Linked DNA regions of Saccharomyces cerevisiae S288C. Changing the gene in region 3 together with the main gene of any one other region gives a genetic interaction. Each region holds a gene or a part of one and is shown on either strand. Other genes may lie near its edges. The genes, in order: GET4, CHM7, APQ12 and TCP1.

The links.
Region 1: mutations in APQ12 (region 3) and GET4 together harm fitness more than expected from each alone (negative genetic interaction), as found in Saccharomyces cerevisiae (3 studies listed by BioGRID).
Region 2: mutations in APQ12 (region 3) and CHM7 impair growth when combined (synthetic growth defect), as found in Saccharomyces cerevisiae (6 studies listed by BioGRID, with this or other methods).
Region 4: mutations in APQ12 (region 3) and TCP1 together harm fitness more than expected from each alone (negative genetic interaction), as found in Saccharomyces cerevisiae (3 studies listed by BioGRID, with this or other methods).

Annotation. Positions count from the first base shown.
Region 1 is NC_001147.6:642,510-646,518, forward strand, and holds GET4 (protein GET4), read right to left. Parts: upstream 1,824-4,009; coding exon 885-1,823; downstream 1-884. Other genes in the region: polyphosphatase DDP1, read left to right, coding at 232-798; dynamin-like GTPase SEY1, read left to right, coding at 2,057-4,009. UniProt on the Saccharomyces cerevisiae protein: May play a role in insertion of tail-anchored proteins into the endoplasmic reticulum membrane.
Region 2 is NC_001142.9:344,178-348,881, reverse strand, and holds CHM7 (phosphatidic acid-binding protein CHM7), read right to left. Parts: upstream 2,910-4,704; coding exon 1,557-2,909; downstream 1-1,556. Other genes in the region: UBX6 (Ubx6p), read left to right, coding at 245-1,435; ATP-dependent RNA helicase MTR4, read right to left, coding at 3,139-4,704.
Region 3 is NC_001141.2:275,763-279,399, reverse strand, and holds APQ12 (Apq12p), read right to left. Parts: upstream 1,678-3,637; coding exon 1,261-1,677; downstream 1-1,260. Other genes in the region: TED1 (Ted1p), read right to left, coding at 1-974; GVP36 (Gvp36p), read right to left, coding at 1,895-2,875; protein kinase PKP1, read left to right, coding at 3,108-3,637. UniProt on the Saccharomyces cerevisiae protein: Involved in the regulation of lipid homeostasis in the endoplasmic reticulum, thereby impacting nuclear pore complex biogenesis and localization, and nucleocytoplasmic mRNA transport.
Region 4 is NC_001136.10:885,372-890,159, reverse strand, and holds TCP1 (chaperonin-containing T-complex alpha subunit TCP1), read right to left. Parts: upstream 2,929-4,788; coding exon 1,249-2,928; downstream 1-1,248. Other genes in the region: UPC2 (Upc2p), read right to left, coding at 1-409; GCD6 (translation initiation factor eIF2B catalytic subunit epsilon), read right to left, coding at 3,295-4,788. UniProt on the Saccharomyces cerevisiae protein: Molecular chaperone; assists the folding of proteins upon ATP hydrolysis. Known to play a role, in vitro, in the folding of actin and tubulin. In yeast may play a role in mitotic spindle formation.

The DNA.
Region 1 (4,009 bases), on a different chromosome or scaffold from region 3:
ATCAGAAAGGTATACTGTGTAAATAATGCGTAAATAGTAGGAGCATGGTGTTCTCTTGTCGTTGAAAGAACATCTGCGGCGAGCACGTGCGGCTTAATTCTCAAACGTCTCGCGGAGGTAAATAGTGTAAAGGGAAGCCTCAACTTTAAGACATGAAATCACACTGAAATAACGCCTGAAAGGTCAGGAACAGTGAGTACGTAGGAGTATAAGAGCGTGGGGAAACACAAAATGGGCAAAACCGCGGATAATCATGGTCCAGTACGTTCTGAGACAGCACGTGAAGGAAGAGAAAACCAGGTTTACTCACCCGTTACAGGTGCAAGATTAGTTGCTGGCTGCATATGTTTAACACCCGACAAGAAGCAAGTTCTCATGATTACTTCTTCTGCACACAAGAAAAGATGGATTGTCCCCAAAGGTGGCGTTGAGAAAGACGAGCCTAATTACGAGACGACTGCCCAACGAGAAACTTGGGAGGAAGCTGGTTGCATAGGTAAAATTGTCGCCAATTTGGGTACAGTTGAAGACATGAGACCCCCTAAGGACTGGAACAAAGACATTAAGCAATTCGAGAACTCTCGAAAAGATTCAGAAGTAGCAAAGCACCCGCCAAGAACCGAATTTCATTTTTATGAATTAGAGATTGAAAATCTCCTTGATAAATTTCCGGAATGTCACAAAAGACATAGAAAGCTATACTCTTATACAGAAGCTAAACAAAACTTGATAGACGCCAAGAGGCCTGAATTGTTGGAGGCCCTTAATAGGTCTGCTATCATTAAAGACGACAAATAGCTAGCACATACATATATATGTATATACGTCATGGTCGTCAAGCCACCGCAAACATATTTATCTATTCCTTCGCAAATATGCTCTTTTCACTTCGATCCGCCCAGGAATCCCGACATCATGTCTTGTAGGAAATTCGTTTGTTTAGGAGCAACAATATTGAAATATTCCTGGCCCAAAAATTCTAACTCACTTTTGTAAGCTTGAGAAAAATCTAAATAATGGTTCTTTAAATTCAAGAAATAGCTCTTATCCTTAGTCTGACAGGTAATTAGCAACAATTGCAAAAAATTTAGGTCGGAATAATCTTCAAAAAAAACTATTTCATAACCATTTTTATCAATTTTCTCGTACTTGGGGTGAAATTTCTCAATAAATCTTTCCAAAAAAATGTCTTTTGATTCATGTGCAAATGATATGTTAGAGATGAATAAATAGTTGAAAACCAATCTGCTGAAGAACTCAGCCACCGTGCTATCTTCGATATCATCAACTTGGCATAACCAGTCCCATAGTAAATCGACATATTTGATCATTGAATCATGTGTACCTAACATAAAATATCTCTCAGCTTCATAAACGAAATCTCCCTCTAATAGTTTGCTACCAATGGTGTTGTGCAAGTAAGGATCTCCAAATTTGTATTCACTAAATTTGATAGACCAATTGTTCATACCAGTAATAACGTCCTTTAAATTGGGCTCGCTAGGATCCAATTCGGCTATTAATCTAACCAATCTAGCAACTGAGATGTCATCAACTTTAACTTCCGCTAAATCATAAACTTCTAAAAGATAGAAGATCAAATCCGTGCCTGAACCGCCCTGCTTCGCCTTTAAAAATGAAAGGGCCCCTTGACTAATTAGTTCTATGGCATGCTCGTATGATTTACTTCTAACATATCTATTAGCAATAGTTCTCAACGTTTGATGCGCTTCGTAATAATCTCCAGCTTTGATCTTATTTTCGAATCTTTGTAAGGTTTTAGCGAGTTTCGCTTGTACAGCATTAGATTCAGCAGGAACCATAGCTTGTTATTATTATTTATGTCCCTTTATGATGTTTACTTGGTTGTTTTACCGCACATGTTATTATTTCATTTTTTTGACTTTCCTTTCACTTTTTTTCCCATTGTTTGTTACCTTAACGAAGAGCGACAAAACGAACAAAATACTGAAAGGTGTATTTTGATGGTAAATAATTATTGACTTATTTCAACAAACGGGCTACTAACTCACTCGACGGTTGACATACTTTAGTCATGGCTGATAGACCTGCTATTCAGTTGATAGATGAAGAGAAGGAATTTCATCAAAGTGCATTACAATATTTTCAACAATGTATTGGAAATCGTGATGTTGGTCTAGATTACCATGTCATCTCAGTTTTCGGTTCTCAATCGAGTGGTAAATCGACTTTACTTAACGTCTTGTTTAACACCAACTTTGATACCATGGATGCTCAGGTGAAAAGGCAGCAGACTACTAAAGGCATTTGGTTGGCTCACACTAAACAGGTTAATACAACTATTGAAATCGATAATGATCGTCCAGATATTTTTGTGCTAGATGTTGAGGGCTCCGATGGTTCAGAAAGAGGTGAAGACCAAGATTTTGAGAGAAAAGCCGCTTTATTTGCCATTGCAGTATCTGAAGTTCTTATAGTTAATATGTGGGAGCAGCAAATTGGGCTATATCAAGGTAATAATATGGCTTTATTAAAAACAGTTTTTGAGGTCAACCTTTCCCTATTTGGCAAGAATGATAATGACCACAAGGTGCTGTTACTTTTTGTAATTAGAGATCATGTAGGTGTGACTCCACTCTCGAGTTTGAGTGATTCCGTTACGAGAGAATTGGAAAAAATATGGACAGAGTTAAGTAAACCTGCTGGTTGTGAGGGTTCTAGCCTGTATGATTATTTCGATTTAAAGTTTGTCGGGCTAGCTCATAAGTTGTTGCAAGAAGACAAATTTACCCAGGATGTCAAGAAATTAGGTGATTCGTTTGTGATGAAAGGTACGGAAAACTATTATTTCAAACCTCAATATCACCATAGGTTGCCATTAGATGGTTGGACTATGTACGCAGAAAATTGTTGGGATCAAATTGAACGTAACAAGGATTTAGATCTTCCAACTCAGCAAATTCTGGTTGCTAGATTTAAAACTGAAGAAATATCTAATGAAGCTCTAGAAGAGTTCATTTCAAAATATGATGAATCGATTGCTCCTTTAAAGGGTAACTTGGGATCTTTAACATCTCAGCTAGTGAAGCTAAAAGAAGAATGTCTGACAAAATATGATGAACAAGCATCGCGCTATGCAAGAAACGTTTATATGGAGAAACGAGAAGCTTTAAATACAAAGCTGAATTCACATATTTCAGGTACAATTAATGAGTTCTTGGAATCATTAATGGAAAAGTTATGGGACGATTTAAAATTGGAGGTGTCTTCTAGAGACAAAGCTACTACCTCTTTTGTAGAAAGTGTGGCGGCAGGTAAGAGTAAGATTGAGAAAGAATTTAACGAATCAATGGAGACCTTCAAAAAGTTAGGGCTACTAATATCAAACGAAGAGATTACCTGCAAATTTTCCGACGATATTGAAGAAAGAATCAAGCAACTACGTGATGCTGAATTGAAAGCAAAAATCGGTCGTATTAAAAAAAATCTGGTTCCCGAATTAAAGGATCATGTGATTCATTTACTATCACATCCATCCAAAAAGGTTTGGGATGATATAATGAACGATTTTGAATCTACTATCAAAGACAATATATCTGCGTATCAAGTGGAAAAAGATAAATATGATTTTAAAATTGGACTTTCAGAGAGCGAAAACGCGAAGATTTACAAAAATATTAGAATATTGGCGTGGAGAACCTTGGATACCACAGTACATGACTACCTGAAAATAGATACGATTGTTAGTATATTGAGAGACAGGTTTGAAGATGTATTCAGATATGATGCTGAAGGTTCTCCAAGATTGTGGAAAACAGAAGAAGAGATTGATGGGGCATTCCGTGTTGCAAAAGAACATGCCCTGGAAGTTTTTGAGGTTCTTTCACTTGCTGTAACCTCAGATAACGTTGAAATTATTCCTGATGTACCAATGGCTGAAGAGGAAAGCGGCGAGGACAACGAAATATATCGGGACAACGAAGGTGTGTTTCATTCCCGTCGTTTCGCACACATCTTGACTGAATTG
Region 2 (4,704 bases), on a different chromosome or scaffold from region 3:
CATCTTGCACATGCTATTCTTTTCGGAGTTAACGAAGCCAGGAGGAACCTTAATGGATTTACCTCTAGCGCGTCAACCCTAGAAGAGGGACTTTTTCCACATGAATAGTCAACTTTTAAGATTCGTTAGTAGTTGTATAGGGACATATATATGCACATATATATAATTATATACTTATACACTTGCTTACAGGGGACATTTTTGACCCTCAAAGGAAGTGAATTACAGGTATTGAATAACAGAAATGTACGAGATGTCAGGTATAGACAGCCTCTTTCATGATCGAGTTGTTCATGATTACTCTCATACTAGTGAGCAGGTTATCGTCGTTTACATTAGTTCAGCAGCCGGGGACAATTCTTGGCTTCATCAGTGGTTCAAACCAGGAAATCTTAGTGACGAGGAGCGCGAAAACATACTGTGGGTAAGGTTAGTAAATGGTACTAAAGAGTGCTTGCTTTTCAAGAGCATTTTCCCCTCCTCATCGGCGCCAAGCATTAACATATTACAGAACGGTCTACTCGAATGTTCTATCCAAGGTAATAGCCTTTCTCGTGAGCAGGATCCTTGGGAAACCTTTATCAATGGGTTACAATCAGTCTTTAAGGGTCAAGTAACAAAGAGGAAGTTATTTTCCAAGAGCAATGAAGAATATCAAAGAGTCAAAAGAATGATTCAGAACGACAAGTTGGAGAGGAAGTATGTTTTTCAAAATACTAATGACCCGCAAAGAAAGCCACAGAAGTGGAAGCAGTTGACAGTTACTGATAATGTTAGTTACAAGAGTCAAAAGGGGTTTCTCGCCCAGAACTACTGTACTCTACAATTGAAACTGCCCAATGGTTACACAATCTCTAATACTTTCCCTCCTCAAACAAAATTACACAAAGTAAGGATGTGGTTAGACTATAATTGCTACGATGATGGAACACCTTACCTTTTCCACAGAAATATACCAAGAGTGACTCTTACGCGAAATGACGAACTCAAAAGTTTGCAAGAGTTGGATCTGTTGCCCAGATCGACTCTCATCTTAGAACCGCTGGAAGCCAATAACAAAACATTCGACTACATGGAACAATCTTCTCTTCTACACAAGGTTTACTCAGGTTTGACATCTTTTTGGGCGAAAGAACCGGAAGTAGATGCTTCCTCCTCCCGTCTTGGTTACCAGAGGTTGGGCACAAATGTGTCAAACAGCGCCAACTACTCTTTACAAAAATTATCTAGCTTAGACATGGTGTCGGACGGGGGAGGAGGAGGTGGTGGTGATTCAATGACTCCTTCAGCATATACTACCCCAAGGATGTATCCTTCTAATGGTACTTCTCAATTGCGACAAAACGTGTCTGAACTAAACTTGTCTTCCAATAATTCTGCATCTAATACCAAAGTTCGTACATTAGGTTACTCTAATAATAACGGCAACAATTAAATGTGCTTTTGTTTATTTCCTATTTGGTTATTCACACATATTTTCTTTCTTCCGTCTATTAAAATATTCATATTTATTTTTTATTTATACATATATATTTATTTATTAGTCACTCAGTTCGTCAACGTGGTTGTTCTTCCATCATGATTTTTCTTATCTCATTATCGTGGTTTTCATTATCTTGCACAGGTCCTTCATTTGTATTTATCTTCAGATTATTCAATCTCTTTAATAGATCCTCGCTACTGCTTTCTTTTGGCTCGTGCAAATCCTGGTTCTTATTTTCTTCCTTATTATTATTCTTTTCATCAAGTTCTAATTGTTCTAATTCTCTTTCAATTTCTTCTTCTGCTTCTTCGTCTTGACCTTTATTATAATGAGCTAATAAATCATTGACCTCTTCGGTACGGTCATGACCCTCTTTAATCTCATCTAGTAAGTCTTCTACTTTTTCGGTAGAACCAATATATCCATTAATTGACTTAATTACTTCGTTGGATTCACTTAAAGTTTGAATTAAAACCGCATTAGTAGCACTGGTGTCTATTTGAGTTCTTACTTGAGCGAGGTTATTTTGAAACTTTAGTAACCTAGAAAGATGTTTTTCAGATAGTAATCTCGCCTGTTTATATTCAATCCTTATTCTCTTCGGCAGCTCATTAAACTCTGGTCCTCTCAGTTTAATGTTAGATTCATTAATTTCTTTTCTTAGCCTTGTAATTTGTTTGTTGATGTTTATAATACCCACTTTAACACTAGCAATTCGAAGGTCATTTTCTGTGATGCCTTTGGAGAACCTGCTAGTAATGTCTTCTACTTCAGCGGCAATGACTTTGATAACATTGTCTTTTGAAACTATTATGTGCTTATAATTCTCTATAAAGTGCAGGAACACGTTTTTCGTTTCTTCATCATAGGTTGAAAAGAACGACTGCAAACTTTCTGTGGTCACAAATTCATTCCTTGTGAATACTAAATCTGTAATAGATGAAGCCTCCATAAAAACACTTCTTTTGAGTAATTCATGAAACCTTTGATACTCTTTTTCCAAATTTGCTTTGATAATAAATTTGTCTTCTCTCAAGTAGAAATTTGTTTCATCCTTCCGGCTTTTATACATGTTTGTAGACTCCTTCCAACTTCTAACCCACTTCCAAAATCCTTTTCTACTGTTGTCAGTGTACATTCCACCAAGATTGAATAATTCCATAGGTATCAAATTTCCTTCATTAACAAGAACGTCAATTGCTATATCAATGCTTTTCGGTACGCCATAAACTTCATGAGTTAATTCTTGCAAAGTCCTTGTCCCTATAGTAAATATGATTCTGTTGGAGTTGCTGATGTATTGTTGCAAGAAGAAATCCCTCCATGTACTGATGTTTGCTTCGTACCCATCGGGATTTAAATCTTTCAATGGCCTAAAATCTCTATATAAAGATGGTAGTCTGGATTCTGGTAAATCTACTTTCATTCAGATACAGTGAGATACTATTTGGCTGGCTTTGGTGGTGTTTTGCCAGATATAGTTTAAGAATTTAAAACTCCTCTTATTGTCTCTACTAACGCTGCACTTCATTGAGTTGTATGGGTGTATCAATAGTGTGCTTGCCCAAACAAAAATGTTATTATATAATAAATGTTGATGAAATCTATTTGTTTATTATATATACCAATAAAAATACATAATTGTGTGTGATTAACTATAAATACAAAGAACCAGCAGATACGATATCTCTATGAATTAATTTCAAGACAGCTTCCATCTTCTCCTTAAGTGAAGAGTTACCAATGGTATTGGCGACGTCTACCAGCTCCTTCACCAATTCCTCTAATCTCTTGAACATTCTGATCAACGAACCTTCGTAAACGTCGGTCATTTTACAGATTTGCGTAAAAGTAGCTCCTCTACACCATTCGTAAACAACTTCCATTAGTTCATGTCTGAAGCTTTCAACGTAGTCCTTTTCTACAACTTCAATTTTAGAATCCTTCATTATCTTAGCGATCTTTGCTGCAATTTCTCTCATAGCCTTCAAAGGTTCGGCAAGCTCTGGTTTCAATCTAGGCGCTTCTTTACAGCGTTCTTGGAATGCAAAGCATGATAATAATGCTGCTGCTTGTTCCGGTTTCAACTCATTGAAATTACCATTGAAGATCAATTCTGTTAGTAACAGTTCATCACCACTAGATATTTCACATGCAACTCTACCTTTCAGTTCAATAATGTCATTAGGAGTACAAAATCCTAAACGGCGCAAAACTCTTTTACGGCGACGAAGATCGTCCAGTTGGATTACGGCTTGTGATTCTGAAATTTTGCGTTTCAATTGTTTCATATCTTCATGTAAATCGTGTTTTCTACTATATTTACCATATAGTTCTTCTAGTCTCATGGAATTGGTTAAGGGATTGGAGGATAACTTTGTGTTTAAAACGTCAATCTTCTTCATTAGCTTTAAAAAGTCCTCATCTTCGATCTTCATGTTTTTAACAGGATCCAGCACGGGAATACCATCCGGGAACCTCCGATTAACCTCCCTTAAAGACTTCCCAACAGTTTCTTTTTGACCGCTGGCTCTAATATCTTTGGGCATATATAGTCTCAAATTACCAATCGACTTGATTGAATCCAAAGTTATGGGAATAACAGCACATATGCTTTTTTCACCTTCTTCCGCTGGGCGAATCCCTTCTGGTAAGGTAGGGTTGAAAGGTTTCAACAAGTTGACTGGAGAGTCTATATACATGGTATTGACGACCACATTGACAATATAGGATTCATGGTCTGTATAGACAGCACTTGGGTTGCGTTTGTTAATTCTTTTAGCAAAATCGACAACAGCACCCCAGCCATAGTTATCCTTACCATTGACAGAGATTTCAACTAATCTGCCTGGTTGTAGGAAACTTAAGGCGTTTGCCGGATGGGTGACAACTTGACGAACATCTTCACGGTAACCTTTGATAGCCTGCTCAATCTCATGGTATTCTTTAACATTTTCTTCATCTTCGACTTCGATGCCATCAAAGTCTTTTTTCAGTTCAGCAAGTTTCTTTTCCATAACTGGTACTGAAATAACGTTTTGAAATTGGAAGAAAGAATGCTCCAACATAAACTCCGGAGAGATACCTTCAACTCTCATTAAGTTCAAAATCATATTATATCCTAAGTGAAAAGCCGAGTCTAGCCTATCTGCTTGGCCCTTAACCATTCCTTTAGCAACTTGAGGTTCCATTTTTTCATCAATCATCATAATAACAATACC
Region 3 (3,637 bases):
CATAACCCTTCACGCTTGTAAAATGGAACATGCGTCAACAAAACAGTACTACCATTGAATTTACGTTCATTTAGTTGGTTTAAAAAGATCCAAGTAGCTTCAACAAATTCTGGTTGTAAAGCGGGACCTTCTAGTAAAAGATCATTCAACACTACAATTCTCCAAGGATGGGTAGTGTTGGTTTCGTATTCAATCCAATAGTTGTCCTTACCGAAAAGGTCGTGGAACCTTGTCATATGTTGATAAGTCGCGTCGCCTGAGTAACCTACATCATGATTACCTGTGATGTTGATGATTAAAAAGTCTTCCAAGTCTGGATTCCATGAGTGGATATTTTCATAACCAAACCCAAAAGAAAGTTCTTGATTATCAGCCTCGTTTTCCTTGACATTGTCTAAAATCTCATTAAAACGGTCTCCCCATTCAGGCCAATTCGCCTTATATTGACCTTTCTCATCGAGGTTCTGTTGTTTGATATTTTCAATAGAAGTTGGGTCTCTTTTGAAAATTCTGCTAATATACCTTTTCGTTCTATTATGGAATTCGGAATCACCGATCCATTGACTGGAGAAAAGATCACCCATAACAGTCACCACCTGAGGCTTCAGTCTCTGCTGCATCATATCATAGATGTGACCAAGATAGTAGTCATTACCGTATGTATCTAATCGGGACACATATGGCGTCTTTGGCCAGATGCCTTTAATCTGAGGATCACCGAAGGCCAAAATATGAATATCCTCATCGTTACCTGCAGAGGCATGGCTACCATGCCATTGCTCTCGAACATCACTGAAGTAATTCTTCACTTTGTCCACAAAAGTCAAATCTTTCTGTAGTGGTGCGTTCTTGTTAGAGCAGTTCCATGAACACTGTTCTGGATGGAAAGATGGATAAGTATAGATGTAAATATTAGCGACGATAGTGAGGAAGGTGGCAAAATATGCAAACTTCTTGACCGCACACCTGAGCATCTTGGGATTCTTGGTACAATGCTGCTGCTGTTGTTTTCAGTTCTTCAATCGCGACCGGATAAATCGCTTGTAATAACTTAGTTTGCAATTTTTCTTAAAACTTCAGAAATCAAGTCACAATTGTAATGAATAATTTGGAAAACACAAGTCACCAAAAATAGCTCAATATTTGATAGTGACTAGGGGAGGAATCTAGCAAAAAAAACGTTCTTTATCTATATGAATATTTAGAAATTAAGATATGTAATTACTTTAAGATGTTCCGAGTAAGCAGAGGCGTTTCGCTCTATTTAAGCAACTGTTCCATTTTCATCTGCGCCAAATGATAAACAGTGTTGATTTCTCTTTCCAGGGCATTAATAAACAGAGTATAAATTTTAAATGCGTAGTATCTATTTGACATGACGAAATTGTAGAAATTCAACAGGTCCACAGTCAAAAACTGCTGCGAACCACGCATATAAATACCGATACATGTTACTACCAACGTCAAATACAGGAATCTTTTGACCAGAGTAATGAAGTTCATCAACAACTTGTAAAAGACATAAAATGTGAAGAAAATAAACAATAGTTGGAAAACTAACGGGTGTGATTGGCTGAACTTAGTAATAGTAGGAATCAACCATTGGATGACGTCAATGGCAGACTTTAGGCATTGTGTTACTACGGATAGTTCGTATTGCGGTTGAGTAGCGTCCATTTTTGGGTTGCTCACTTTGCCCTTTGGTGACTGTTACGAAATTTTTTTCAGTAGCTTTTTCTCTTCCAGTAATTATATTTTCTCTACAAAAAATATACTCACTACAAAAGCCAGCAAATAAATGATAATATTCGTACGACACTAGAGAATATGATATTGTATTAAGTAAATATATATATATAGAGAAGGAGAGAGAAAGACAAGAACAGGGCGGCTATTAAGCGTCGTCTTCGTCATTCATAGAGATAGCTGTCTGTGGCTTTTCTTCTTCTGCAACCTCAGGCTTTGCTTCCGGCTCTTCCGCAAATGAGTTGGATAGGAACTCTTTCATTAGGCCAGCCGAGGTTTCAAAATACTCAGCTTGAGCCTTGGCCAATTCCTTCAAATCTTCACTGAAGTTAGCGTGAGAAATAACCTCCTGCAAGCACACAGTAGCGTCTTCAGTGACTTGAGCAAACTGGTCTTCCAAAGTCTCCATTTGGACTCTCAAGGAAGCTTCCTTTTCTGGCTTCTTGTTGTTTGCCAAGTTAGTTCTTGCCACGTCATATCTTAATCTCATGGAATGGACATCCTTGCGGCACTTATCGGCCTTACCGATCTCAAAAGAGAGCCTTTCCCTCAAATTTTTATTGAATTTGGTTTGAATCAAGGTATCTTGTTGAATTCTAGCTTGAGCAATCTTAGCCTGCACATCACTGAATTGCAAGAGTGCCGAAGCCAAGGGTTGTTCCTCGGTGGGGAACATCTTGTTCAAACATTCACTGGAGTTCAAAGCCACTTTACTGAGGGCGTAGTTCAACGTCTTGGGTTCTTTGATGGGGCCTGGAGCAACTAAGATGTTTTGTGCCTCAGACGCAGATGTAGCATGAGTCAACTCTGTCAACTTGGAAGCCACGCTTCTTGAAAACTCGTTGACGGATTCGTTGATGTATTTAGGGTAATCGTACGATCCGTTTTCGTAGATAGCAGTTACACCCAAGAAGTGGTTGTAAATCAGTTTGATGGTGTCAACCTTATCTTCCAGCTCTGTGTACTCTCTTGGCAATTGGGAGATGTCCGTCACCTGGCCCAAACGTTCCTGGACCATTCTTTGGGTGGATTGCGCCAAACTGGGCAATTCCTGGGTTTTTTCGGAAACACTTGTGGATATTTCCTGTAATTTCTTGCTCAAAGAGCTGGCGAAGGCATTAAACGACATTGATGACTATGATTTGTTGCTTATTCCACTCCTCTGCCTACAAATCATATAGGTTATAGGTGAAGAAGGTTGCAATTTTCTTGTTTTTGACATCCCGATTAATCCACCGCTCGCTTCTCACGGTAATAAGGGAAAATGTCTGCCAGTATGAAGCAAACAACATTAAACTGAGAACATTGGTGAGTCAAGACCATAACTGGAAGACGTGGTATCAAGACGCCTTCACGGTAGTATGTGGAAGATTATGCGTTCATGGAAATGTGGGGGAATGCGCTGGGCACATCGCCAGCGACCCTCACACGAGCTGCTGTCGCAACTGTCGTTCGACCAGCATTACAAGATTAGGTCGAACATTGAGCTGCTGATACAGGACTACGCTAGTAAACCAATTGCGCCCCTAAACTACGAGTATTTCCTGCAATACAGGCCGCCGCTGACCAAGAAGGAGGAGTACATGCTGACGATCAAGACAATCAACCTGTTGCTTTCATTGACGTGTAAACGGCTTAATGCCATTCAGAGGCTACCGTATAATGCGGTAATCAACCCTCATATTGAGAGAACCAACTCTTTGTATTTGAAAAGCTTGCAAACGTTGCTATCAATCGCATACCCGTACGAGTTGCACAATCCTCCCAAGATACAGGCCAAGTTCACAGAACTGCTGGACGACCACGAGGACGCCATTGTGGTATTGGCAAAAGGTCTTCAGGAAATCCAATCGTGTTACCCAAAGTTTCAAATTTCGCAGTTCTTGAACTT
Region 4 (4,788 bases), on a different chromosome or scaffold from region 3:
ATGAGCCTGAAGCTTTTACCGCTGATTGGATATCATTGAACGGTGTCTGCTCCTTCTTGATCGTAGGAGGTAAATCTACCGATGAATCAGACTCCACGCTACCGTCTGCCTTTCTCGTGACATACTTCACTACTGTTGCTCCTCTACCTTTCCTTAAATGGATTGGTGTATACTGACATTCCAACTTCATATTTGTGCACTTCCTACAGGCTGGCTTCCCTTCATCACACTTAACTCTTCTTCTTTTACAGTTATCGCACCCATTCTTTGATTTGTTATGGAATTTACGTTTACCGGTTGAAGTCGTACTCACCTTTTTGCCGTCCACTTCAATTAGCTCGATGACTTTTTCTCTTCTTCTGGGTTTTGTCACCGCTTTCTTGTGATTCTGTATACCGACTTCGCTCATACTGCTGAACTGTAAATATTTGTACTTAACTTTTTTTGATTCACTATTTCTGGAAAGCTCAATTTTGTTTTAGTGTTGGATAAATGAGAAAAGATAGTTCCTACAACTTCAAAAAGTTAATGTATGTAAAAAATCGCTGTTTAGAGGAACAGTCAGCACTATCGCACCCTGAAAGCAATATCAATCTTTGACAAAAGAAGTGTCTACTTTCTATGCCGCGACTTTCCAAGTAACTTGTATTTGCTGATCCTGCCAGGGCGGCGCATATATAGATTTCGACAAGCACATTCACTGAAGACAATAGAATAATATTCGTTGGGCGAAAATTTGACGCGATCCCGCTAAGGTGCGCTCGTTTAGAGAAAAAAATAGCTTGGAAAAAACCTTATTTAGCTGCCACATTTAGACAGAATAACACAGCCACTATGGGAGATATTCACCCTGGGGATCATGTTTAGAAACAGGCTTAGCAGTAAGCGCAATTGAATTCATGGAATACACTCCGCATTCTTTTTTATTGCCGCCTTACTAAAATGTAACGCTAGCGTTAAGCTTTTTTCCTTTAACAGGGTTCCTGCTCGTTTACGAACAAACACAATAGTTTGTAGGGACCCGCTTCTGCATTTGGACAAGAAAAACAACTCAACGAAGTCCTAATAGGTACGCGTTATTACGTATTAGTCCACCTCGCACGTGAAAAGCTGGGAAGCGCTTATCAACTGCCCAGAGTTAGCGATCAAATTCAAAAATAGAACTAGCTGAAAAAAATATAATTAAATTTTATATAGGTTTATTAGTTTACATGCAGATACAGAATCTCGTTCGGATTACGCAAAGAATCAATGATCGTGCGGATCTTCTTTGGGTGGTTCTGGATCCACTGTAATCATTGTATCAATTCTTAGAATTGCTACACAAGCCTCCAATGCTGATTTCAAGGATTTGACTTTGCTTATGGTTGGCTCAAGAACACCAGCGTGAATCTCGTCCACAATTTTACCTCTAATCAAATCTAGGCCGTAATTTCTGTAGCTTCTCCTCTTAACGTCCTCTGGCTTGGCCATTTGACTAGCGGCATGGTAGGACCTTAATTTTGCAACTAATTCACTAGAATCCTTGGCAGCGTTAACAGCTAAAGTTTTTGGAATGATTAATAATGCAGCTGCAAACTCAGCAATAGCTAACTGTTCACGAGAACCAACTGTGGTGGCAAAATTGTCCAAATAGATATTCAATGCGGCTTCAACGCAACCTCCACCGGGGACAACATTTCCACTTTCAAGCGTTCTTTTGACAACAGAAAGAGAATCGTGCAAAGAACGTTCCATCTCATCTAAAGAATAATCGTTGGCACCTCTTAAAATGATCGAAGAAGATGAATGTTTAGAAGTACCCTTAATTAAGATACACTCATCATCAGAAAATTTGGCTTGAACTACTTCATCACAAAGACCTAAATAACTGCTTTCGAAAGTTTCCTCACCTTCTAAGTTAGACATAGAACTAACCAAAGTGGCGCCTGTAGCGCGTGCAATTCTTCTCAAATCTTCCTTCTTACAGCGTCTTACACCCATTATCTTAGCTTCAACGAACTCCTTTAAGCATAAATCATCAATACCTTTGGTGGTTAACACAACTTGAGCACCAGCATCAATGATCTTCTTCACTCTTTCCAAAACAATACCAGCTTCACGTTTACGGATTTGCTCCAATTGTTCCGGATCATCAATGTTGATTTGAACACCCATTGCCATACGAGCTTTCTGCAAGTTCAAATCCAAACATGCGATTTTCACATTGCCACCGGCGATACGTTTAGGCATTGCTTGAGAAGCAACTGTACAATTCAAAGCATAACCTGGCACCAACAGTGATTCAGTGGCAGATTTACCATGAGCTTTCAACACATTGACAGCCTTTACGGGATACTTGATTTCTCCTTTGGAATTTTGCGTCTTAACAGCCAAAAGAGCATCTACAACCATATTGCTGAAAAAATCAGAGTCAGCACCAATGATCTTAGAGGACATACTAGTCTTGGCTATATTAATTAACGTCTCTTTCCCTAAAGTGTCAACACTTGTGGAAAGAACTTCATTTATAAAACGAATAGCCTCTCTTAATGCAACCCTGAAACCAGTTATGATGGTAGTTGGATGAATCTTATTTTTGACTAATTCATTAGCTCTTTTCAACAACTCAGAAGCAATAATAACAACACTAGTAGTACCGTCACCAATTTCTCTGTCCTGTTGTTGAGCCAATTCTACTAAAATTTTTCCAGCTGGATGTTGAACATCTAACAAAGACAAAATAGTGGCACCATCGTTGGTGACGGTAAAATCACCAATGTCATCAACAAGCATTTTGTCCAGTCCAACGGGGCCTAAAGATGACTTGACGACGTTAGCCACAGCCATAGTAGCCAAAACATTCTGATTACGAATATCATCACCACTTATTTTTTCACCTCCTAGGAAAAGGGTATCTGAGCGCGAGTTATTGAATAATTGGGACATCGCTAAGTTATTACAAATATAAAAGTCTTCTGTCTATTGTTATTGTCCCTTTCTTGTACTCTCTCAGTGGCCTCTCTTTTGCTTAAGTTATTTACTCTTCATGTGATACCACCGCATTTCAATTTTTTTTTTTTTCAGTTCTTTGCCACTTAGGACAAGGTCCCTCGGCAAGTGAAAAAAAAAAATCTGAGATTATTATTTCAGTAGTACTACTGAGGATAAAAACTAATATGATAAAAAATATATATATATTTGCTTTTTGCTTCTGTAACATGTAAATTACTAAATCTATATAGCGCTCACCTTTTTCTCATATTAAAGCCTTTTTATGGTAATACATGATTATGCAGGGTACTGCGTGGACTTTTATTCCTCTTCTGAGGAAGATTCTTCGTCAGCATTCTGTAACCACTCAACCCACTTTACAGTTAATTTCTTGACTTCATCATAGCGAGGGTCAGTAGAAACATTATCCCACCATTTATAAATGACATCCTCCTCAATTATGTCATTATCGTATAGAGAAACCAATGCACTAAATAGAATCAAATCCGGTTTGTCAAAACTCTGTTCTACAATTTTTTCCATTATGATGTTCATCAAATCAATATACTCTTCTTCATCAAAGGCTTGTCTCTTGAACAACAGTCCCCACTGATTAAAAACCTTCACCACAGCGTCCTTGGGACCTAATGTTTGAGTTGCAATAAAGTGGTAAACTCTTCTCAATAATGCAGTTATTGTTGCTATTCTCACCTCATGATATGTCACGTTCATACTCATTCTCAAGGTGTTCAATTCTAATAATGCTGTGTCAAGATCATGATTGTTTTCCATAGCACGCTCCACGGTGGCAATACCTTCTTTCTCAAAATCTTCGTCCTCAAATTCAGAATCAATTTCTTCTCTATCCGTGTATATACTATTGACAGACATCGTTCTTCTTTTCTTTGTCTTTTTAGTGGCGGAAGAAATTGAATCGTCACTTAAGTATAACTCATCTAATTGGTTACTCAAAGTGTTTATTTCTTTGCAGGCTTCTGTAGAACTATCTTCATCGTCAGACACCTCGCTTTCGTAAATATAACCAACACCCTTATCTCCAACAATAGAAACGGCTAGTGTCTGATCATCAAGGTCTTGGTCAAACTGCTCATTGCTTTCATTATCATACATTCTTGAGCCGGCATTTTTTAATGGACTGGCAGATATTTTTGTGTTTCTATCTAAATCCATATTATCATCAATTTTAACGTTGAAACCAATTATACAGCCATCATTTAGGCGTACATTACTCCCTAACGTGGCATTAGAGGCAATTAATGAATGGTCAATTATACTGTTATTTCCGATGATACAGTCATCCCAAATGAAACTGTTCTTGATTCTAATATTTTCACCGATTTGGCAGTTCCTTCCAATCACGGAATTCTCAATTTTCGTACCCTCTCCGATTTTTGTTCCTGATCCAATTGCAGTGCACTTACCAATTTTACAGGATTGGGCCAAAACAACGTCTTTTTCCTTGTATATATGTCTTGATTCATAAGAATACGTTTGATCGTCCTGTATGTTAGAGTCTAAGACCAAGGGATAACACCATCTACCTAAAAAGTCTTGAGAAATGGTGTCGTAAGTTTGCCAACTTTCAACTCTTACAGCATATTCGTCCGTCAAATAGGCATATATATGCTTTCCCAATATATCGCTTGAAATGACACCTTTAACAAAGTCTGTCCTTAATGATTGGTAGTCAAAATTTTCTTGAAATATCAAAGGTACATGAGATGTACAAATGTCAATTCTACAATCGATGAGGTCATTCCTTATGACAAATTCATCGACATTATCCAACAATTC